3 linked regions of the Oreochromis niloticus genome follow. The protein of the gene in region 2 binds, or shares a complex with, the protein of the main gene of each other region. Links are inferred from orthologs where the notes say so. Each region holds a gene or a part of one and is shown on either strand. Other genes may lie near its edges.

Evidence for each region.
Region 1: the proteins of ube2g2 (region 2) and aup1 are in contact, whole or in part, in a crystal structure (PDB 7LEW), measured with the Homo sapiens proteins. The link is inferred for Oreochromis niloticus from reciprocal best matches to the Homo sapiens genes UBE2G2 and AUP1. Residues at the interface, in NP_003334.2 of Homo sapiens: Tyr13, Thr17, Pro20, Gly23, Ile24, Val25, Ala26, Gly27, Pro28, Met29, Asn30, Glu31, Glu38, Leu40, Met42, Glu45, Glu50, Phe51, Val53, Pro55, Lys156, Val159, Gln160, Ser162, Leu163, Leu165; in NP_853553.1 of Homo sapiens: Ser379, Arg382, Gln383, Leu386, Arg389, Lys390, Leu393, Tyr394, Tyr396, Ala397, Arg398, Arg400, Phe401, Thr402.
Region 3: the proteins of ube2g2 (region 2) and E3 ubiquitin-protein ligase AMFR are in contact, whole or in part, in an NMR structure (PDB 2LXP), measured with the Homo sapiens proteins. The link is inferred for Oreochromis niloticus from reciprocal best matches to the Homo sapiens genes UBE2G2 and AMFR. Residues at the interface, in NP_003334.2 of Homo sapiens: Tyr13, Leu16, Thr17, Pro20, Gly23, Ile24, Val25, Ala26, Gly27, Pro28, Met29, Asn30, Glu31, Glu38, Leu40, Met42, Glu45, Glu50, Phe51, Val53, Val159, Gln160, Leu163, Gly164, Leu165; in NP_001135.3 of Homo sapiens: Ser574, Ala575, Arg578, Gln579, Met581, Leu582, Arg585, Lys586, Leu589, Leu590, Ala593, Arg594, Arg596, Phe597, Leu598, Lys600.

The regions. Positions count from the first base shown.
Region 1 is NC_031966.2:32,624,994-32,632,764, reverse strand, and holds the start of aup1 (lipid droplet-regulating VLDL assembly factor AUP1), read right to left. Parts: upstream 3,087-7,771; 5' UTR 2,787-3,086; coding exon 2,746-2,786; intron 169-2,745; coding exon 31-168; intron 1-30. Other genes in the region: ctsf (cathepsin F), read left to right, coding at 4,108-4,356, 4,965-5,075, 5,513-5,594, 6,397-6,458, 6,595-6,667. UniProt on the Homo sapiens protein: Plays a role in the translocation of terminally misfolded proteins from the endoplasmic reticulum lumen to the cytoplasm and their degradation by the proteasome. Plays a role in lipid droplet formation. Induces lipid droplet clustering.
Region 2 is NC_031987.2:899,206-906,683, reverse strand, and holds the start of ube2g2 (ubiquitin-conjugating enzyme E2 G2), read right to left. Parts: upstream 3,009-7,478; 5' UTR 2,878-3,008; coding exon 2,835-2,877; intron 2,610-2,834; exon of another isoform or gene 2,591-2,609; intron 1,624-2,590; coding exon 1,588-1,623; intron 1,459-1,587; coding exon 1,413-1,458; intron 1-1,412. Other genes in the region: olfactory receptor 10J5-like, read right to left, coding at 4,294-5,256. UniProt on the Homo sapiens protein: Accepts ubiquitin from the E1 complex and catalyzes its covalent attachment to other proteins. In vitro catalyzes 'Lys-48'-linked polyubiquitination. Involved in endoplasmic reticulum-associated degradation (ERAD).
Region 3 is NC_031965.2:27,579,392-27,587,492, forward strand, and holds the start of E3 ubiquitin-protein ligase AMFR, read right to left. Parts: upstream 3,076-8,101; 5' UTR 3,045-3,075; coding exon 2,790-3,044; intron 2,700-2,789; coding exon 2,607-2,699; intron 2,510-2,606; coding exon 2,345-2,509; intron 1-2,344. Other genes in the region: si:dkey-148a17.6 (leukotriene B4 receptor 1), read left to right, coding at 3,085-3,148; endochitinase A1, read right to left, coding at 6,459-7,700. UniProt on the Homo sapiens protein: E3 ubiquitin-protein ligase that mediates the polyubiquitination of lysine and cysteine residues on target proteins, such as CD3D, CYP3A4, CFTR, INSIG1, SOAT2/ACAT2 and APOB for proteasomal degradation.

The sequences.
Region 1 (7,771 bases), on a different chromosome or scaffold from region 2:
GTGGTATTAGAACACTTTTTCAATACTTGCCTTCTTATAAAACTCTCTGGAAGTGCACAGCTGACCAGAAACACATGAACACCGATAAAAATACGTATGAACATTAAAGAAATGCCGACTGGAAAGTAAATCAGCAACAGCAGAAGAACGACAGCATCTTTGGGAAACCTGCACAAAAACAGAGCAGAATCAAAAAAATGACATTTGGAATAGAAAACACAAAAGAAAAACAAATCTAAATGTAAATTTATAGTTGAGAGAATTTAAGTGATTTCCAAGGGATCTGTAGCAAGACTGCTTTATCCTGTGCTGATTATATTTCAAATGAACCAACACATTTTTACCCCTTTTTTATTTCCCAATTCCAACATATAGACCTCACCATCAGCCTCAAAAATACCATTCTGTGATTTGAATGACAGCATGTGTCACAACCTACTGATCTTCTTCCTTTTATTACTGGATAAATGTGCACTGAGCCATAGCATGAACTCACATCAGAGTTTAACCATTTCACTCTATAGTTATTCAACTATGCAATATTACCCAATGATACAATACTGTGAAAAAGAGCCATCCATAATTTGTTTATGTTTTGATACGAAATGGTTACAGGTGCAGGTATTTATTGCAACATGTTCAAACACACACTGAAATCAAATATATAAAGCAAAAACAGATTTTGTACAATTCCAAGCTTTCCTATTGTTCTCCAATCTTCTAGGAAGACATTCAAAGCTCTTCTCTCTGTCAAGACGATCAACCACTTCTAGAATAATGTTGAGGTCCGGGGTCTGTGGAGTCAAATTCATGCTTGATGGTGTTCCAATTTGTGCTTTTCTATTTAGGTATGTTTTTACTGTGTTTTGCATGTGGCTGCAGACACTCACTGTTGTAATTCTTTCCTGTTCATACTGAAAAGGAGTTGAACCAAAAACGTGGATTCATCACTCCATCAGGCCACTGACCTCCACTGATCTTGTGTAATTTTCATACTTCATCCTTTTCTCCTCTTTTCCCTTCCTTAAGAAGGGCTTCTTGACAGCGACCCTTCCACTGAGACCATTTCCAGTGAGTCGTCAGTGAACAGTAGCTGGATTAACTAAAGGGGCAGATGTATCTCTAAGGTCCTGTCAGGTCTATGGCAGATTTTTTTCCTGTTTCTTGAGGACATGACTTTCAGACACTTGCTGTAGATAATTATTTTAAGCCTGCCACTTCATCTGTCCTCCTCTTGTCCAGTTTCCTCACATTTTCATACGAGCAGATCTCGGCATGAAAATTTGAGGAGAATCACCTTTTTCTAGCAAACATATTATTCGATGTCTGCCAAACTGTTATTTCTGGCATTTTTCACAGATTCAACTAAAGAAATGGGAACATTTTATATATTTTTCTTTTATAGACTGCAAGTAAAAAAAGCGCCTAAAGATACAATGTAAAATTGCTTGTTTTTGTTACCAAGTTTTCTGTTATGTAAAGATAACAGATAACATCATCCCTTGCATTAGGTGCTTTTTGTTGTTTGGATCAACTGCAGGGCCAGATGCATCTTTCAGGTCCTGTGTCAGGACATGACTTTTACTGGCTCATCTGCTGTTGATAATTTTTAAAGCACTGCCAATTCTTTTGTCCTCCCCTTATCCAGTTTCCAAAAATCAAATTAACTTGACACTGCACACTATACTGCAATATGCCAAATTTTCAGCTAATAGCACTATGGGAATCACCTTGTTGTGACAAAAGTATTATATTACGTCTGTCAAACTTTTATCTTTATGTTTTTGTGACAGACTGCTGATAACACAGTAATTTAACATTGGTTATTTGCCAAGCTGTCTGCTATGTGTAGACACAACACTGTTTTCATGCCTGAATGAAACATAGATTCAGTGTTAAGTGGTCCGTTACAAGGACTGGACTGAAAATGAGTGAAAAGGCAGCAAGTGTCTAAAGAATAACGTTGAAAGACCTTCAGAAATCCTGGAGAACCGATGCTCAAGACCACAAAAAATACAATCAAGTCTGACGATATGAAAGGTGGCTCGAGGCACAGTACTGTCCATAAGTTATTAAAACCAATTGCAGAGTTAGCGCTGCTTTTGTTTCAGCGTTTTTACCAATATTACACGTGTCACTACTCGATTCCCTCTGCACTCAAGCGCTAGAGAACATTTCGAAACCTCATTATAAACGCTCTAGTCGTCATTAACACTGTATCTACAGGCCTCATGTCCGCCCTCTATTCAAGTCAAAAACACTTAAGTATTTAAGTACACAACGACAACTACTTTTGCTGTCAGTTATTTTCTCCACTTTACACGCGCCCAAATATAATCTCTGACTTTTGTGTCAAGATCAAAGAACTTAAGTATCTTATAAAACTTGACTCTTGGTTGTCACAAGGCAAGCAGTGAATACATGAAACCAACAGAAATCTAAGATTAGCTAGTTCACGCATTTCATGCTGCAACTGATCGGCGTGCTTATTAAAATTAGCACTGGACAAGGTTTCATGTCAAACGCTATCCATGACTTGTTTAGTATACCGTTGCCAATATCGGCTAGCTAGCTGCATGTTTTCCAGATTATTTAATACATCTTCTACTATACTGGTTAGCTGCCTGATAATAAACGTCGTCAACGACATAACCTCTGTGTATTTCTTCAACGCTTATTGCGCTAATTAGCGCTAAGTGAAGGTTAACCGAGCACTTTACATTACTTAGCAGTTAGCTGACTTACCGACGAAAGTCAAACATGTCTTCAATCCCCCGAGTCTCCATGTCTGCCAGTCAGACCTTCAGAGGCTAATGCTAAAAATACAACCTGACCCCTAAATATAAATTAGTCATTACTTTCACGACTGCGCCTCTGTCATGCGGTGGGTAAACTGGAAACTGGGTCGCTAGTTAGATTATAGTACAGCCTTTTCAGACCGCTTAAGTGCACGACTTTAAAATGTTAGCTTTGTGGTTAAACAGCGCTAGCACAGCTAACGAGAAAACGGCTTCAGTCGGCACGACACCACTTCCGGTCCGTTGCTAGAATCCCCTAGAATAAAAGCGCCATCTCTACAAAAGTACATTTATATAAATAATACTCGTTTCTAAATTCTACAGAAGAGTATAAACTGCGATTCTTTGTACCCAACCCAACCCTTCAATTACTTTCATGATTTCATGTAATCTATAACTGTGTGTTCATCTTTATCGGAGTGTCAGGTGCAATACTTTCAAAATAAAAGAGCAGCAGAAAAAAAATAAAGAAGCACTAAAGACGTCCCCTAAAGGAAACGCTAGTAAAATATTATAGTATTTTGTCTACCTCTAGTGGCGAAATCTGATAAATTTTAATGTGTTACATTAGTATGTAATGTTACCATTTTATTTTAATGAATCTATTTATTTATTCCAATAATGAGCTGAACGTCTTTAGTCGCCCCTCTTTTCTTTTTAGTGTGTTTATAGTCTGCAGTTTAGGGGGGGGAAAGTGTAGCCATTTATTGAAACATGTGCAAACATATGTGTAAATACAGAATATAAGGCAAAACCAGAGTTTGTACAACTCTAAAGAGCTTGAAACACCACTGGCTGAAATGCAGCACCAAACGGTGACAGAACCTCCACTAATAGCTGTTTGGTTCTTTGCTAAGTTGTCTGTGAAGTGCAGGCACCACCCTGTTTCATCTCTTGAATGCTCGAATGATTCATAGGTCAGTGCCCGGTGCCTTAACACACAAACAAACAAACAGAAAACAGTATAATCTGAAAATGGTCAGGGACAACGACTGGACTGAAGTGAGCGAATATCAGCCAAATGTCCAAACAACAGCTTCAGAAAGCACTGAAAGACAACTGCTGCCCTACAGACCTATCAGCGACAGTCCTGCCTGAATAATAAATATGGGAATTATCATGAACACGCCCTCCTTTAAAGCTCAGTCTCCGCCTACAGCCTGTCAGATGTGTTTGGCAATAGCCTCTTGTATAATCGCTGCTTAACTGACAATCGATTTTTGTGTGAAGAAAACAAACACGGCTGTTATTTAAGTGAGCGCAGACTAGACATCGGCCCTTTCAGTCGGTGACAACACACGGGGCCAACATGGTGGTCATATTGCGCTGTTGCCCGCTAATCCGGTGGCTGTCCCTGGCCGTTGTGCTGGGCTCGGTTCTCGGACTCGGTGAGGACCTCGACCGGCCTCTCTTCGGGCCCCCCGGCTCTTCTATCTGGGTCCACGACTCCGACCCGGGTCTTAAGAAGGCTCTGGCCTTTGCAGAGGAGCGATACAACCGGGTCTCCAATGCGATGCATCTCCGCAGAGTCAGCCGGGTCATCTCTGCCACCAAACAGGTATAATTATTATTGGTGGCTTTCCTTCTGATTTTATAATATTTATTCAACATATTTTGGTCTTCTAGTGTACTTGCAAAGAACGGTTAAAGAATTTGTTATTTATCGATTTATGTCATTGTAATAAGCGTTGTGTATGCTCGTTTTTTGTAAACAACAGCGTTGCTGGAGGGTCGTCATTTTAGCTAAACACAGGCCAGAAAAAGGGGTGATGTACCTTCAAAATAATAGCGTAAACGTCTTTGTTGCGCTGCTCAGCAAGGGATGCCTAAACAAAGACAAACAAAAATGTATTCCTATTTATCTACAATTTTCAAGAGGTTTCAACTTAGAAAAAACAGTATTTATTTATTTATTTTACCTATTTTTATTCTCAAGCGTTCAAGATAAGATTTTATGCGCGTTTACTGCAGCCGGAAGTTATGTCTTTGACTTTAAATTAACAACGTCTATGCAGTGTGGCCTGTTTGGAGCATAACGAGCATCCATATAACAATAACACGCATTATATTTTATACCACGTCTAAATAAAAATATTTATTTATCCCAAGATTTTGTGTCCTTAAATTAAAGATGACTGAATGTTTGTGTGTTCATCTGTATTCCAGCTGGTTAAAGGGATCCGTTACACTTTAACAGTGGAGCTGAGTAACACTCAATGTAAGAAGTCCACCATGCTCAGGACATGTGACTTCTATCCCGAGTTAAATCAACTCAAGGTAGGGTGTGTGTGTGTGTGTGTGTGAGAGAGAGAGGGAGAGAGAGAGAGAGAGAGAGATAGCTCTTGTGATAAAAATTAAGCAGCAGAGAGAATGTGTAATATGAGTTTATATTTAAGAATAAAAAAGCTGTGTGTGTGTGTGTGTGTGTGTGTGTATCCAGCTGTGTATTGATTTTTTATTGCGTCAAAGCAGTTTTGCTAGTTTTGATCTTGTGACTCAACTTTGACTTGGAGTGATCCTAATCTCACTTATGCCTCATTCACGCTTGCATTCATTTACAGTATTGACTCTTTTTTTTTCTTTGTTCCTGTTTTCTTCCCAACTAAAAATATCTAAGTTATAAGTAAGTCTATAAATGGGGCTTTTTACAAGAGACCTAAACCTACAAATAATAACTGTTATAGCTTTTCCTCTAAATTTTTTTTATGTCTCAGACAGAGGTCTGCATCTTTGAGGTGTGGGACATCCCTTGGCAGGGGGCGTCAACCTTGCTCAAACAGAAGTGCCAGCCCAAAGGTCAGTCAGCAGCCAAACAGACTGATCATCCAACATTTAAGATTCAGAACCACCCATTATGGCTGTCATATGGTAGACATTTATAGCTGAACACCATAGTTGTGGCTCACTTGGTCTTCCCTTACAGTGGTGTGAAAAAATACACTGATTATCTTATCATCCAAAAACACAACAACAAGTATTTTTTAGCCCTTTTTTTTACCCCCCCCCCAAAAAAACCACTAAAAGAGTTCAGCATTTCTGTTCTATCATAATAACTTATTCAAGATATTTCTGACCACAGTACCCATGATGTGATATGTGATATTGTGGCAGGCCTAGCACATATAGAGAAAAATCCTTTTAAAATTCATTTATTTCTACTGATTGTCACTGAACAGCCGGTCAGGCCATGAGATCTTTTTTTACACGCTTGTTTTACAAAGAGATAAATGAGGTGGAAGGTTGAACAAAGACATGTTCGAATGTTAACCCCTTTTTCATGCGTAACAAAGAACAAAATCAACAGTAAACATTTGCCTAAGGCTCTTCTTTGTTGTTGTGATTTAGACCTATAAGAAGGCTTTCATGAGCAATAACAAATCATACTGACGCTACATATTTGCATTTGAAAACACTGGAGGCAGTGATTTTATGTTGTTTTTTGTATTTTTGTCGTTTCTTTCTGTCATATTTATGAGCCTGAAAATTGTCTGTGAAAACTGTGAATTGCAGCAACCTGCATGACAGTTTGACTGACTGATTTAACTGTTAAATACTCTCACACTTCCCATGTCTTCCTGTGTTTCATTTCTCTTATCAGTTGAATCTGAAGTAGAAGAGAGCAACAAGGTAGAGGATCCATCCACCAGCCAGCCTCTGGAGGTAAAATTATGTCAGGCTCTACAGCTACAGGCCTGTGGTTTTATCTGCCTCTGCTTGTTTTTTTAAACTGTTCTAATCAATTTAGATTTGAGATCGAGGCTTTCTGTTGTTGATTCTGTGTGTGTGTTTGCATTAGGAGTCGGTAGAGCTGCTGGGCCAGTTTAAAGAGTTCATGACTAAGTACAATAAAGTCTACAGCAGTCAGGAGGGTGAGTGACTGAATCTCATTCATACCACATACTACGTATGGACACTGTGTCACATTCCTGTCTGAACACACTGAACACTTTACGTAATCAAAGCCTGTTTGGATTCACACCTGAATGCAAATGTTCAAACTGAGAAAATCAGACTCTTTTAAGGAAAATATGAGCTTATTTTGAATTTGATGGAAGCAATTCATCTCAAAAAACTCAGGCCATGTTCACTTCTATGTAGGTTCCCCTCTTCCTTTAACAGCAGGTAATAAATGCACTGAACTGAGGCGAGCAGCTGCTGGACTTTGGAGAGATGAATGTTGTGTCATTCTTGTCTGATAGAGGATTTTAGCTGCTCAGCAGTTCTGGGTCTCTACATGATGGGCTCTATGTGAAAGGTCTGGACTGCAGGCAGGACAGTTCAGCACCCGGACTTTTCTACCACAAAGCAATACATGAAGTATGTGGTTTAGTATCTTGCTGAAATACGGAAGGCCTTCCCTGAGATAGACATCATCTGGGAGGGAGCATGTGTCGCTCTGAGCATGTGTCGCTCTGAGCATGTGTCGCTCTGTATATACCTTTCAGCACCTTTCCAGACGTGAAAGCTGCCAGTTCCATCAGTGCTAATACACCCCTGTATTGTCAGAGCTGCAGGTTTTTGAACATGTTTTCATCATGTTCACATTCTTTTTTTCATGATAGTGCAGTGCTGCCTCAGGACTAAAAATCACAGGCATCCAATGCTGATTTTTGGTCTTGTCCTTTGTGCTCAGAGATTTCTCCAGATTCTTGAAATCTGTTGATATCCTGTCCTGTAGATCATCAGATATTCACAGTCTTCACATTTTTATGTCGGGGAACATTATTCTGAAATTTTTCCACGAGTTGTAGATGTAGTTTTTTGCCGATTGGTGAACCTCCGCCTCTCTAAGATGCTCTTTTTGTACCCAGTCATGTTACCCACCTGTTCTTAGTTAATCCAATTACTTGTAACTTGCAGAATGTATCGCCAACTGTTTTCTTTTAGTACCAATTACTTTTCCAGTCTTTCTTTTTTTTACTCTGTCCCATCTTTCTTGACACATATTGGTGCCATCAAATTCAAAGTGAAAT
Region 2 (7,478 bases):
TTTTACTCCCCAGCGTTTAAATTTGAACACTTTTGTGTTGTCTTGTTTCCTGCTCTGTTTTCTTTCAGCCATAAATCCACTGACTTGTCTTAACTTTGTGTTACTGGGGAGTGTACTGATAGCTGTGTTTCATCTCCAACACTTTGAGAACAGCGACACCTTCTGGTCTCACTCGGTCATCGTCACACTGAACCTGTGAGTCTAGTTGCCATGGTTTACAGGTATGAGGGTGAATTCATGACTCAAACTGCAGGTTTTTACTTTCTGAGTTTGGCATAAAGTGTGAAACAGGTTAACGAAACAAATACAGAGAGGTGAGCCTGTTACAAACACTAACAGCTGCTAATAAAAGGATCAGACAACTGATCCCAGCAGACGGGAGGTTAAAGCCATGAGGGTGCAGCATCGTTCACTTTTTAAATGCAATTAGTGTGATTAGTGGATCTACGGAGATCCGTCGCTGCTTTCATGACTGAGCCTGACCTTTAAGCACCCAGCATAGAAGTGAAAGCAACTCGTTTGTGCAACAGCCAAATTAGACAAATGCTGGTGCTCACAGAAGTGCTTCAGGTGACTGTGAACGTGAGTGTTGGTCTGGGTGTTTCACAAACTGCTGATATGAAACATCAGAGTTTACAGAGAAGGTCTGAAGGACAGAAAACATCCAGTGAGCAGCAGTCCTCTCGGGGGAAATGCCTGGTTGAGGTGTGAGGACAGACTGCTTCAAGCTGATAGTAAAAGCAACAGGAACTCAAATAACCACTCATAACAACCGAGGTATGCAGAAGAGCACCCCTGAGCCTTAGAACAGATGATCTACAGCAGCAGAAGACCACACTGGTGCCACTCCCACCAGCTAAAGGACATTTTATACCTGCTACGCGCTGCCTTGCAAACAGCACCTTACAACAGAGCTAACGTCATTTCCACTGTCACTAGCTGCCACTGCTGCAGGTCTTATATCAGCGATGATGTGGAGGAATCGTCCGAGTGGCAACACCAATTGTTCAGGAGAACACTGCAGCGGCTTCCTGGGCTGTAGCAGCGAGTATAAACAGAAGCAGCTGTGTGATGACGATGCCAGCAGTGTGGGAAATGACCGCAGCCTCGCCTCTGTCAGTGCGCCCCAGGGCGGCTGTGGCTACAATGTAGCTTGCCTCCACCAGTGTGTGAATGTGTGGATGACTAAATGTGTAAAGCGCTTTGGGGTCCTTAGGGACTAAGTAAAGCGCTATACAAATACAGGCCATTTACCATGTACCATTACTCTAACCCAGTACTAGTAAACTGTACCCAATAAAGCGGCTGTGAGAGTCCAGTTACAACTGACACATACACAATAACACTCCAAAACAAATACAAACACCCAAAAATGACTCAAACGTGTGTTTCCATGGAGACGGGGTACTCACATGATAAGAGCCTCCCACTCGAAGAAGTTCTCCTCGTTCACTGGACCTGCACAGCAAACACAAACTCTTTAAATCTCCTGCTCTCAGAGCTGCTCGGGTGTCTGACTGTTAGAACAACACACTGAACATCTGAGGGCACATCTGCAGAAGCTACAGATGTGTTCTGGTGTCTCACCTGCCACGATGCCCTCAGGTGGGTTCAAAGTCAGCTCTGAAGCACAAACACAGAAAGATGAGTGACCTTTGACCTCTGCTGTGATCCGGTATCAGTCACATTTTTAAACAGCTGATGGATTGTTTGCTTTCCCATATTGAAGAAACGATTAACATTTATTCATTTAAAAACAGCCTAAGGCAAGAAAGCAGTTATAAAAGACTTCCCAATTATCTTAAATACCAATCAGGTTTACCACAATGATCTATGTCGAACTGTTTATCCATAACTGTAAATCATCAAGTTTGCACACTTATACACAACATAATACAACTGTAATTACCCCTAACCTGTAAAGTTGCAATTGTTATACATAGCTCTACATATACACCATAATATATACTCTGTATATATTATCACTGTGACAGTGTTGCAACTACTTGCACTTTAAATTCTGTTTACACCCACATAAGCTACAAGATTTACAAAGCACTGTTTGTCTGTTTTACTTTCTTTTAGTCGTGTGAAGGGAACGTACAAAGTAAAAATTTCATTGCTCTGCGTAACCATTTGTGTTTTGCGGTGTACATGACAATGAAGTTCTTGAATCTTGAATGCATCGACTAATCTGTGCAGAATTCACATTATTACACAAGATTAAAGTGTAGCAGCCTGAAATGAGCGCATTAAATAAATGACAGGCCTAAATATGAATGTGTACCGAGGCTAATCCCCCAGTTAAAGTTCTTATCGTTAGCCCTCAATGCACCAAATTACATTTAAAAACCTTCAAATTTATCACTTTCAGAAAAGGCAAATCAGCCGCCGTGTCAGTGCAGCGCTGAAGCCTCGCAGCGAGTTTTCCACCTGCGCTCTGTGTTCCTGTAATCAGCATATAAACATGATGTTCGCACTTTGTGTTCATTTATCACACTTTAGAAAAGTTTTGAAAGTTACATCACGGCAGCTACATGGAACATTCTGGATAACGCCACACACACGTTATATAAGCTCCAAATTATACCGCGGTTTAAACTGCAGGTGGACAAAGCCGACACCGGATTATTCACACTGTGCAGACATTCATCAGGTTATCGGTTTGAGTCGCAGGAGAGAAGAACAAACGCGGACAACAAAGAAAAGCTCAAACCGACCGAACTTTTAACGGAGTTTCGTACAGAGATACAGGCGCTCGCGGGTTGTTAGCTTAGCATGCTAGCTAACATTAAAAGACCTCCCATTGGCTGAAAGCGGCTCGCGTTACTCACGTTTGTACTCGGCCATTAGTCTCTTTAGCGCTGTGCCAGCCATCGTGTTTACCGGAGAAAACAACAAACAAACAAATAAACAAAAGCGGCTCAGTTTCTCACGTTCTCACAAAGCAACGGACCAACAGCTGATCCGACTGAGCATGCGCAAAACGTGTTTCAGTTTGCGTGTCAGCAGACAGCGCACCCTGTCGACAAAAATAAAAACAATTAATTTAAAAACAAATAAAAAAATAATTAATTGTTTAATAATTAAGCTCATTTGTTTAATTGTAAACTTAATTTTACTCAAGTAAATGTTTTTGTGCCTTTAATAAATGTTATATAGTCTTTTTATTCAATTTTGTCTTTATTTAATTTAATTTATGTATGTAATTGATTTCCTTACCTGGATGACTGAGCATCAAGATGTATGCATGTAATAATAAGTTACGGTCTAACTGATTGCTTTTCTGTACAGTTAGCTTTTCTGTGCCACAGCAGATGTGTTTTGTTGTTGTTGTTGAATACTCAAATACATAAATAATAAAATAAATAAATAAATTCAATTCAAGTCAACTTTATTTATACAATGCCAAATCACATCAACAGTCACCTCAGGGTGCTTTATATTGTAAGATGGACCCTACAGTAATACATACAGAGAAAAACCCAACAATCATATGACCCCCTATGAGCAAGCAATTTGGCAACAGTGGGAAGGAAAAACTCCCTTTTAACAGGAAGAAACCTCCGGCAGAACCAGGCTCAGGGAGGGGCGGGGCCATCTGGACCCACTGGTTGGGGTGAGAAAAGGAAGACAGGATAAAGACATGCTGTGGAAGAGAGCCAGAGATTAATAACAAGTGTGATTTAGTGCAGAGAGGTCTATTAACACATAGTCAGTGAAGAAGTGTCTGACAGCGAATGACTGACAGGAAATAGTACCACATGTGAAAAGTGATGATTTCCTGTTTTTCTCTTTTTACTTGTAATGACTCATTGGTCTGTGTGACCTTTGACCTAAGAGTGCAGTTTCCACTGAATAATTGATCAATAAGAATTGATAAGACTGATTAATACAACCAAACAAGAAGAATCCAGACTGTTTTTAAAATATTCAAACAGCAGTCAGAACTCAACTTTGTTACTTTATATAGTGAGAAGTTTCTGTGGCCTGAATATTGAACTGCTGGATTTTGCCCATATTATTTGCTGAGGGGACTTTTATCTGTTGTTGTTGTTGCTGTGTGCAAATGCTGCAGCTGCATACAGCTGCCACATCAGAACGTGCTGCAGTATGTTCCTCTTTATCAGGAAGTCTAGTTCAAGGCCCTCTGCTGCCTCCCCCAACAAGATGTGGATGAACTAAAGAGCATAAAATGAAAATGAATGTTGATTACAAAACAAATATTTATGACCTTTTTTCTGATTATGGGAGTGGAGTCAGAGACCAGAACTCAGGATCTGGTTCTGTGGGTTATTCAGCTCTCTGGCAGCCCAGCAGCCTCCTCAGCTGAGCCCTGATCTCCGTCACCTTTAGGCCATACACCACCGGGTTGAACACAGTCGGGATCATGACCTGGAGGATGGAGGTGAGGACAGAGGCTGTGGGCTGACTGCCAGCCTGTAGGCGGCGCTGCAGCACCTCCACCCCAGAGCTCACGCTGTAGTTACAGAAGACGAGCAGGTGCGGCAGGCACGTGCTCAGTGCTTTGCTGCTGAAGCTGCGCGAGCGCCGCAGGCAGATTGACAAGACGGCGCTGTAAGAGAAGAGCACAAAGATGGCGGGCAGCAAGACAGTAGCCACGATGACCGAGAGGTTGTAGACTTCGCTCAGCAGTGTCTCACGACCACCACAGCTCAGACTGACCAGGCTGTAGATGTCGCAGTAGATCCTGCTGAGCTGCGAGCGGCAGAGCGGCAGGCGGCTCGCCAGCAGCACCGCAGTGCCGACCAGCCCGACAGGCAGCAGCCAGCAGAGCAGCAGCAGTGCCAGCACTGTGGCTGGAGACATGACAACGGTGTAGAGCAGCGGGCGGCAGATGGACACGTACCGGTCAAAGGACATGGCTGCTAGCAGTAGGAAGCTGGAGGTGCCCGATGAATATAAAAGCCAGGCCTCACACATGCACCCACGCAGGGTCACCTGCACTGAGCGGCCCCCCCTCAGCAGGTCCACCAGGAGTTTGGGGTAAAACACCGTGCTGCCCGCCACAGAGTTCATCAGCACAGCCGCCACAAACACAAACATGGGGCGGTGGAGGCTCCGCTGGGAGCAGATCACGTAGACCACCAGGCTGTCGCTGCACAGCATGAACAGGTAGGCGCACAGGAAGAAGAAGAAGAAGAAGAGCCGCTGATTGGACAGCTGCGCCAGGCCGTCCAGGGTCACTGATGTCACCAGGATGGGCAGTGAGGTCACGTTTACCCCTGCTGACATCATCGGGGGAGACACAACAATCTGAGGGTGTCAGCTGACAGAAAGCTCTGGAACAGCTGCACACAAGTTTAAACCATCAAATCGAAAACAGAAGCAGAAAAAATATTGTTTCAATATCAGATCATCAATTTGCAATTTATCATGACATCATTAAATGATCATTTAAGGCATCAACGTTTAGGTTATAACCACTTGAATAATGTTTTAAATCAACCTTTGAATCATCAACACTTTAAATGTTCAAACTGTATAATTGTTTAAATTAATAACATTTACTCTTTTATTATTTCAATAAAATAAATGTCAGCATTTAAAGACTTAAACTAACATTTAAATCGATATTATATGTGTTTAAAATCATTCTTCACATCTTCAACACTTATGAACATATAAAAATGTTACATATTAAAACAGTTTAAACAATCAACTGAATCATTTTTAACATAATATCTTTACAATTTTATCATTTATCATCATCAGTGTCAAAAAATAAAATCATCAGCATTTAGATTATCAGTGTTCAAAACATATATCTTCTCGCAGACGATCGAGTAAAGAACTATTTAACTCAATATTTTAAGTTTTATCTTTTAAATCTTTGCTTTAAAAACAACATTTAGATGATTAACAACAAAATATCTACATTTAACTTCACATATGATTATATAATCTGTGTTTACATAATCATTTAAATAATAATTTTGGAGTTAAGCGTCAAAATTATAAATTATGAAATTTAAAGAATAAATGTTTACATCATTATTGTTTAAATAGTCACACTGATATGATGGATTTTATAAAGAACTTTTTTCAGTGTAAAACATCAATGTTCAAAACACTAATGAACAAGAATGAACGAATATAATTATCAGCTATATCACACTAACTCTTTATCCTTGATTTTCAAAACAACATTAAAGTCATTATAGTTAAAACAATATTAAATCAATAACATTTGAATGATAAAAAGTTAAACACAAAAAAGTACATCATCAAACTTCAGACATAGAAAGAGACACACATGCTCCCACACCTGGATCATGTGGGCTGTGACAGGTTTGAGCTGTATTTATGATCCTCTCGCCTCAGTGGAGCTCATTAACTCTGCCTTATCTTCATCGTCTCTATCATCCTCCTCAGCATCGAATGTTTGATATTTTTCCTTCACTGAGGCTGTAAGCATGTTTCTCTCCAAGGGTTGAATCTGGAATCATGTTAGGGATGACTGTGAATTTTCAGTGGAAAAAACATCTTAACCTAAAAAAATAAACATTTTACAGTAAATTGTCAAACAGAAAAACCGTCATCTCTGTAAGCATAGTCTTTAGGTTCTAGGTTTAAATCTGTTTAGAGGTAAAACAGAAAACCTTAAATAATATATATAAATATATAATTAATGGTTGTAGCCAAAACATCACCCATTTGTCTTTGGACTCTGTAAAGTAAGTGAGTCAACTTAAATTTTAAAGAGCTTTTCACAGGCAAGTAGTGACAAACACTGTACAACAAAACAAGTTTGGGCACAGAATAATGCAAAAACAACTGCTGTCAGCAAAAGTCTCAAAACAAGGCCTGGTTAGAATAAAACAAAAAAAACAACAACAAACACTGCTTTTTAATAGAGTTAGCTAAATGTAGGCGTAGCAGCAGACTGTTCCATAGTCTTGTTTTCTCAAACTGAAAGCCTCTGTCCTCCCCAGTCTCCAATCTTGGAGTGCGTGCACACTGAAGGACATGTCCTGGTCAAAAATGACTCCAAGGTTCCTCACAGCATTACTGGAGGCCAAGGTAATGCCATCCAGAGTAAGAATCTGCTTAGATACCATATTTCTAAGATTTTCAGGGCCGAGTACAATAACCTCAGTTTGATCTGAATTAAGAAGCAGAAAGTTAGCGGCCATCCAGGTCTTTATGTCTTTAAGACATTCCTGCAGTTTAACTAATTGGTGTGTGTTACCTGGCTTCATGGATAGATAGAGCTGGGTGTCATCTGCATAGTAGTGAAAATTTATGCTATGTCTTCTAATGATGCTGCCTAAGGGAAGCATGTATAATGTAAACAGAATTGGTCCTAGCACTGAACCCTGTGGAACTCCATAATTGACCTTAGTGTGTGAAGAGGACTCTCCATTTACATGTACAAATTGGAGTCTATTAGATAGATATGATACAAACCACTGCAGCGCAGTACCTGTAATACCTACAGCATGTTCTAATAGCTC
Region 3 (8,101 bases), on a different chromosome or scaffold from region 2:
GGGGGGGGGAAAATAAACCAAAGGTGAATGAGTATGCTGTGCTTCTTAATTCTTTCTTCTCATGTCCTAAGATTTCTTTTCAGTGTTTATGCAGGTTAAAGATCATTTCCTCAGGATGGCCTTTAAATCCCACCGTGATACTTTTTTGTGAAACTTTGTTACCAAAAAGACCCAGCTATAAATTAATTTAGTGGACATCAGTAGACAAAGGAAGTATAACAATTATTTGTCAAACAGTGGAAAATTTCACTTAGATGCTCATGAAACATGCTGTTGAAAGAGAGTTCATGTTTTTCGCCACTGGCTACAGACAAGAGTTTTAAGAGGCTCAGTAACACACTCAATTTTTACTGTGACATACTGAGAGAAAACCCTACATGTACTCTCTTCTAAAGATTACACAACCCTTTTCTATCAATACAAACGCCTCTCACACAACCACTAAATATCTAAGCACTAGCACAACTAAACTTCTAGCAAAGTGTAAATAACAACAAATTTGCACATTATTATAGATTACAACTAAGGTGAAAAATATAAAAACCAGCTGCTCGGTATCACAAAGACCACAAGGTTTCCAAGCTAAACCTTCAGCACTACAACCTGCATTTCTTATCTTCACCCCAAAGCAAGAAACCACAGTGACAGGAAGACAGAAAGGGGAAACAGCTGGGCAAACAACGGACTACCTCCAACCTAAATTTACAGTTAAAGTTGAAAGACGGAAACAAAAACAGCAAGAGGAACACAATCACATCAAAATGAAATGTTTACAATATGGCAGGTTGAAATAACCTTCTAGTATACTAAGGCAGCCAGCATTACATCACGTCTAACTTTGAATGTCTAACTGACATTTAAAACAACTTAAACCTTGTTTTAAATGTCAGCACTCATAAGAAGGTATTTAAATGTGATATTTTGTTTTCCCCACCATACAGAATACACTCTGATAGAGAGATGTTAGCATAGTAACTGAAACTGTATCAGTAGTCACAGTCAACATCTGAGTATAAAAAGCTATTAATAGATCCCAAGCTGAAAAGAGTACAGTTACACTGTGTCTACTGAGGGAAAGCACACTTTTTAAATAAGCATTTATAGAAAGTGTACTGAAGTATTGCTCAGGTGGATAAATCTGGCTTAGTGTTTAATATTCAGAAACGGTTAAGTAGGAACAGAGTTAGATTTGCCAAGCTTTGCTGTGGCATAGATCTGCTGTGGCAGATTTCTATTTATTACATACATGCGTATTACATACATACTGAATTACACAATACAGAAAGCATACCCCTGTAATACATATAATAGACTGGCACCGGTACCTATGTTAAAGCGCAGAATTAATATCCAATATAGAAAAATCTAAAAAAAAAAAAAAAAAAACACCCACACAAAAAACAAAATGAGGGTAGACCAAAAAACCCTTCCAGAAGCAGGATTTCCCCCCCTTTTTTTAACTGAGTTCCTTCAAAGCACAGAAACAAAAAAATTTCCTGTAAATGTACACTTTTGCAGTTAAGCTCATGATCCATGAGCTTGCCTAACACCACACTGACCATTTCCTATGATATACTGTTTCTAACAGTATCTGATATTTCTTAAGTAACATGTGATTCCTTTCGTAACAGGCAAGAGTTCAAAGAGCTTTGCAGATATCTGGTAAAGAGCAAGTAAGGTACATCACCCATGATTACACTGGGTGATGCACTACTCTCCGATAAGCCACTGAAATGACACATGTATTTCAGAGGCTTTTAGGCTGCATATACATAATGGGAAAAAAAATCTTAAATCCTATATTTAATCCTATATCCATTAAACATATTTCTCATTTCTTTTACCCATGAAATCTACACAACTACAACGTTGTTAGCTAATGTAATTTACTCTAACTGTGATTAGATAAGCCACTGAGAAAGTCAGTAATTAAGTACATTTGCTTAATTCTTCAACCCTTGATTCTCATAAATCTAGCTGTTCTCAAGTCTGGCTTCCAACAAATATGAAAAAAGGAACACCACAATTAAGACAATACTATTATTGTGCTGCACCCCATGTAAAGATGAAAGTTGCATTTTTATCGATCCAGGGTACCCTTTTCTTTTACACTGGTTTAAGTCTCTTCTCAAGTGCCCCAAATCAATCCCCACCAGGTTACAGAAGGTTTAGTTAAGCTTGATTGAAAAAACAAACAAACTTTTGGAAACAGCTTGGCTCAAGGAGTCAAATGGCATAAAACAGAAATAACCACAGACAATAAATGCAACGTGAGTCTAGTCGTATTTGTCTAAAGTGATGATTGGATTTTGTTGTTGTTTGTTTTGTTTTTTTAAATACTTACATATTCAAAGCGATCCTTGCAGAGCTGAACCATTAGGTGGAGAAAAACGAGTGCGGAGAACCACAGACACCACATGACCACCTCCTCCACTGTCTGGACGTTCAGTACACCAAAAATGAAGATGAACTTGTAGAAAATGAAGTTCCAGAATTTATCTTTCAGGTGCTGATGAACCAAAAAAAAAGGAGACAGGAAATGAGATGAGTGACCATTTGCTTCTTGTTTGAAAGAAGTAAAAACAGCTGTAACAACACAGACTTACCTGCTTCTCACTGACTCTGAGTGGGCCAAACACCACGTACTGAATCATTTTAGCAATTAACATCAACGAGCAGCAGAATGTGTTCACTAACACCTGTAGGTATGCAGATAATAAAGTCACCATTAGTTTTTGTATGAACTTCATAATCACCATCACGTCACACAATGCACTAAAATCACTCACCCACACAAAGAGACTGTCTGTGACAAGATACCACAGGACAGTTGTTGCCAGTTCTGTATTACTAATATCATTCTTTAGAAGTTCACGCTCCACCTCGGAGGGAGGCTGTGCCTCATCCGTTTCCAAGGCCCCAAATCCCGGGTCAGTTACTGTGGTGTAGGCACTGAAGATGCTACCAGCAAGCAAAGCCACACTCAGTGCTGTGTAGGTCTGCAGGCTGGGCCAAGGAAACCTCTCCAAAAACAGCAGAGGCATTGCAATCGCAAGCTACGAGTCCACTTCTCAGCTTGTTAAAATGGTGTCAGTCCAGCAACCTGTGAAGGCAGTAGGGACGTTAGCCCAACTTTACGGGACAAAGAGTAAATATTACGCAAATAGAGCAAAGACAGCATGTGATGGCAGCCATTTCGGCTACGCACGAATTTTAAGCTTTAACAACTGGGACACACAGACAGCAAATGTATCTTTCTAATTTTTAAAAAGTTAGTCCCCCCCAAAACATCTACGTTTACTAAACATTTTGGCTAACCTACACTCAGCCGCCAAGCAGTGCTAACTTCCCTTTAGCAAAAATTACTACCGTGTTTAACTTTAAGTGGAATAATTAAATTAGTCAAAGCAAGTAAAGATGGCTTATCATCATCAACGAGCAACACCTTTACGGAACAAACGGGAGTTCACTCCCATAACATTAGTTACTTATCTGGCTAATGTTACCTAACACTTAGCCTAGTGGTTAGCTAATGCTAGCCACCGTTAACAACCATCAAACGCTAGACTTGTATTAAATGGTCACTTACAGTTTGTCACAGATTTAAATAAACACAATATCCGGCTTCCCCTGTTGCAGTCAGTGCTGAACTTTTAGTCCTGTGGCACTGGGAACACGATACTTGACAACATCGTCATGTTTATTTCACCGAGCAGACAGCTGGCTGAAAGCTGAAGGAAGGCTTTCCGTCTGCGCAGCTGCGTAACAGCGCCATCACGACAACTTTATAATCACGGTCATTACAAAATAAATATTTTCATTCAGCAGTTTAATTTAACTAATAACTCGTTGCCCCGTGATTACAAAAGAAAATGTTTTTATATGTGTTGATTTAATTTTTTGATTATATTGTGGAAAACTAAATCAGTGAGTAAGCTGTGGGAGTTTCCGGAACACGCAAGAATGGACGCTCTTTCTTGGGATTGGGTGTATTTTTGGTGCAAACAACAAAAATAGAAACGACTTCACCTCTAGGCTCGTGTTTATAGTACAATTATTTTTAAATTTAAAACCATTTTGTTGTGCTTTCAAACTGCTTTTAGTGCGTACACGCTAAGACACTTTATTGCACTGCATTGTTTACACATTTCACGTTATACTAATCCCCTTAATATCATGTCATGTTTTTCTTCTTTTTCTTCTCTGTTTTCTTTCTTAAAAATATATTTAGTATGAAATTTTCAAATATTTTAGTAGTTATTTGAAAGTTAAATGTATACTTATTGTTAGTAATTGGACTTCAGATTCGTTTTACCGCATTAAGACATTTGTTTTATCATATTTTATTCGACTTAACTGTATACCTTTCTTTATATTTAATCTATTTGTTGTATGTTTGTTTTGTTTAACAAAAAAATCAAAATTGAAGATAAATTAAGCATTTATCTTACATTTTCTGCGTTGTGTATATCAAAACACTAACCTCACATTAATCTTGCATTTTTCAAGGTGTTTTGTGCAATATCGTTAATGTCCACAAAGAAAAAATATTCAACTATATTTAGTATAGTTTTCATTGAAATTGCGGCACTGAAGCTATATGCTTAGATCTGTTTTGTTGTTCTTTCATAAGATGATTACTTTTTCGGGAATTTCATTTGGCATATGTAAAGTAAATTCGTTAAAAATAGATTTATAATAAAAAAGAGATTTCTTTTAGTTGTACAATTAAAGGAAAACATTTACACCTAAAGTATTTGAATTTATTTGTTACGATAAAAGAAAATAGTTTCTCTGACTTTGGGTGGTGCTTACAATACCACCCAAAGTCCACTGGAGGTCACTCTTTCTTAACTGAATTATCTGCATGATCAACTCGGTCACCTATAACATCTCCAAGTTTCTGGCTTCGATCCTCAACCCGCTGGTGGGCAGCTCTGAACACCACATCCAGAACACCCTGGATTTTGTTGAGAAGGTGAGAGATGTCATTATGGAGGCAGATGAAACCATGGTCTCGTACGACGTTACATCTCTCTTCACTTGCATCCCAGTCACGGAAGCGTTGGAGGTAGTCCGTAAGAGATTACAGGATGACACCAACCTCAGCAACAGAACCACTCTCAGCATCGACCAAGTGTGTTTGCTTTTGGAACTGTGTCTTCATTCCACCTACTTCACATACAAGGGTCAGTTCTACAGGCAGAAACATGGGTGTGCCATGGGCTCCCCAGTTTCACCCATCGTGGCCAATTTGTACATGGAAGAAGTGGAAAAGAGGGCGTTGCTATCCTACCCTGGAACACCACCAAGCCATTGGTTCAGATATGTGGATGACACCTGGGTGAAAATCAAATCTCAGGACGTACTACATTTCACGGATCACATTAACTCGGTGGACCAACACATCAAATTCACCAGGGAGGATATGAAAAGTGGCAGGTTAGCCTTCTTAGACTGTGAGATTTCCATCAGTAATGGGGGACATCTAAAAGCTGACGTGTACCGTAAACCTACGCATACGGATCAGTATCTAAGGTTTGACTCTCATCATCCACTGGAGCACAAACTGGGTGTCATCAGGATGCTACAACACAGAGCGAACACCATCCCCACTGACACAGCGGCCAGGGAGGCAGAAGAACAGCACATTAAGAAGGCCCTGAGTAAATGTGGTTATCCCAGCTGGACTTTTGTCAAAGCTGGGAAGACACCTAAAGAAAGCTCCAGCCGATCCAGGAGAGAAGGACAACCGCTGCCCAGGCGAAAACCTGTAGTGATCCCATATGTGTCAGGAGTATCGGAACAGTTGAGACGCATTTTTTCTAAACACCGCGTCTCTGTGGCTTTTAAACCCCAAAATACGCTGCGCCAAAAACTGGTCCACCCCAAGGATCGGGTCCCCCGACACAAACAGAGTAACATAGTGTAGGGGAGAGCGGGGTAAGTTGTCACACTTTTCACACTGACTAACTTTTACTGAGCACCATACATCACAACGTAATAAATGTTTCACCAAATGAAAGAAGGAAGTCTCGGGCACATATGATGTATTCATTACATTTTCATATCTTATCTCATTACGGAGTTGTAGACTGTTGAATGGAGAATGTGCACTTGTGACAATTTGCCCCATCGGCAGGTAAGTTGTCACACTAGATTATCTTAAAATAAGAACACAAATACTTAATTGTGATTATTGATTTTAATTAGTAAATTCAAACCAAAACTGGAAATTTGAACAATTATGCCAAGAGAATTTGGAAAAAAAACAATTATTTCAATCCAATACACATTTTAATCAAAACATTAAGTAGAAAGAAAACTTTAGTTTGAACTTTAAACTCAAATGTTCTCTGGCTTGCACATAAATCCATCATAACTGAATGGAATGCTGCAAATAACTTGCTTTACTTAACATGTTTATCCTCTGAACAAAACAGATGCCCTATTTCTGATTAATCAGACTCAACTTCAGAGTCACAATTCTGGCACACATAAATTGCCTGGCCTGAGGTGCAAGCATCATGGGCCCATTTGTTGCATTTTACGCATTTTACCCAGGTCTCTTTTGGACGACTGTTTGAAAATGGCTCCACACAGACAAGGCAGAAGCACTCTTCATCATCTGATGATGACTCTTGAATTATTTTTCTTCTTTTAGCTGCGTTGTTCTTCATAGGTCCAGATGTTTTCCCCCCTCGCGTCCCTCTCTTTTGAAACAGCTTTTTGCTAGATTCAGCCTTATTCTTTTCTTTTTCTAGTTGCTGCTTCACTGGCGTGTCAGTTAGAATTGCTGATTTGCGTCGTTTTCTTCCTTTGCTGGATGGTTTTCGGCGGCCAGCTTTTGGATATGGCCGGATGTCCTCTGGAGTTGGTAGTCCGCTGTCAGTAATTGCAGTGCTGGGTAAGGGTGAGCTCGTGATAGAGATGGTGCTGGAGCTTGGCAGTTCAGAGTTGGTGCTGGGGCCTAGCAGTGCAGAGTTGGTGCTGGGGCCTGGCAGTGCAGAGGTAGTGCTGGGGCCTAGCAGTGCAGAGTTAGTGCTGGGGCCTGGCAGTGCAGAGGTAGTGCTGGGGCCTAGCAGTGCAGAGTTAGTGCTGGGGCCTGGCAGTGCAGAGGTAGTGCTGGGGCCTGGCAGGTCAGAGGTGGTGCTGGGGCCTGGCAGTGCAGTGTTGGTGCTGGGGCCTGGCAGTGCAGAGGTAGTGCTGGGGCCTGGCAGGTCAGAGTTGGTGCTGGGGCCTGGCAGGGCAGGGTCCGGAATAGGGCGATCTGTGACGTAGGATGGTGCAAACTTGGCTTCCAGAAATACATTTCTGTTGTAAGGTTGAATCCCAGCCACCCTAAAACCAGCCTGAATGTTCAATGGGGTTGCAGCCAGAGGATATGCAATTACCACAATCCCAGGAATGTCATAAATAGACATTGTCTTCCCAGGGTTGTTCCTCATCCAGGCATCACACGTGCTGTTGATGTGCCTCTTTAGTGGCCCGTAGACAGACCTGTCTAATGGTTGGAGCCGATGTGAGCAGTGGGGTGGGAATGACAGCATGATTATGCCATTTTCTTTGGCATAATTGAGTCCATCAATGGACAGATGAGACTCGTGGTTGTCCAAAAGGAGTAAACAGGGCTTCTCCTTTGAACACTTTGTATGTTCATTGAAATGTTGCAGGAAGTCAACAAAGTGTGTGTCTTTCATCCATCCAGAGGAATTTGCCCCTCCTTTGCTGCCGGGTGGCCCGTTGATCAGGAAATGGTCACGGAAGTGGACATGCGGGAAAATAAAGTATGGAGGTAAACTATTCCCTATGGCTGAGACAGCACAGGCCAGTGTGACAAGGGTTCCCCTTTGAGCAGAGGTCAATGACCCTACTTGTTTGAATCCACGTCTGGCCAACACTTTGTCTGGTTTATGTACAGTGGTGACCCCAGTTTCATCAACATTCCAAATGTCTCCTGGTCCAAACTCATATTTGCATAACACTTTCTCTAAGTTGTCAAAGAAAGCATTGACATTCTCTCTGTTGAAGCTACTTGCCCTGGCAAGGCTAGTTGCTTCTGGATTTCTCAGTGACAATGTTGTATGCCGCTTTAAAAAGC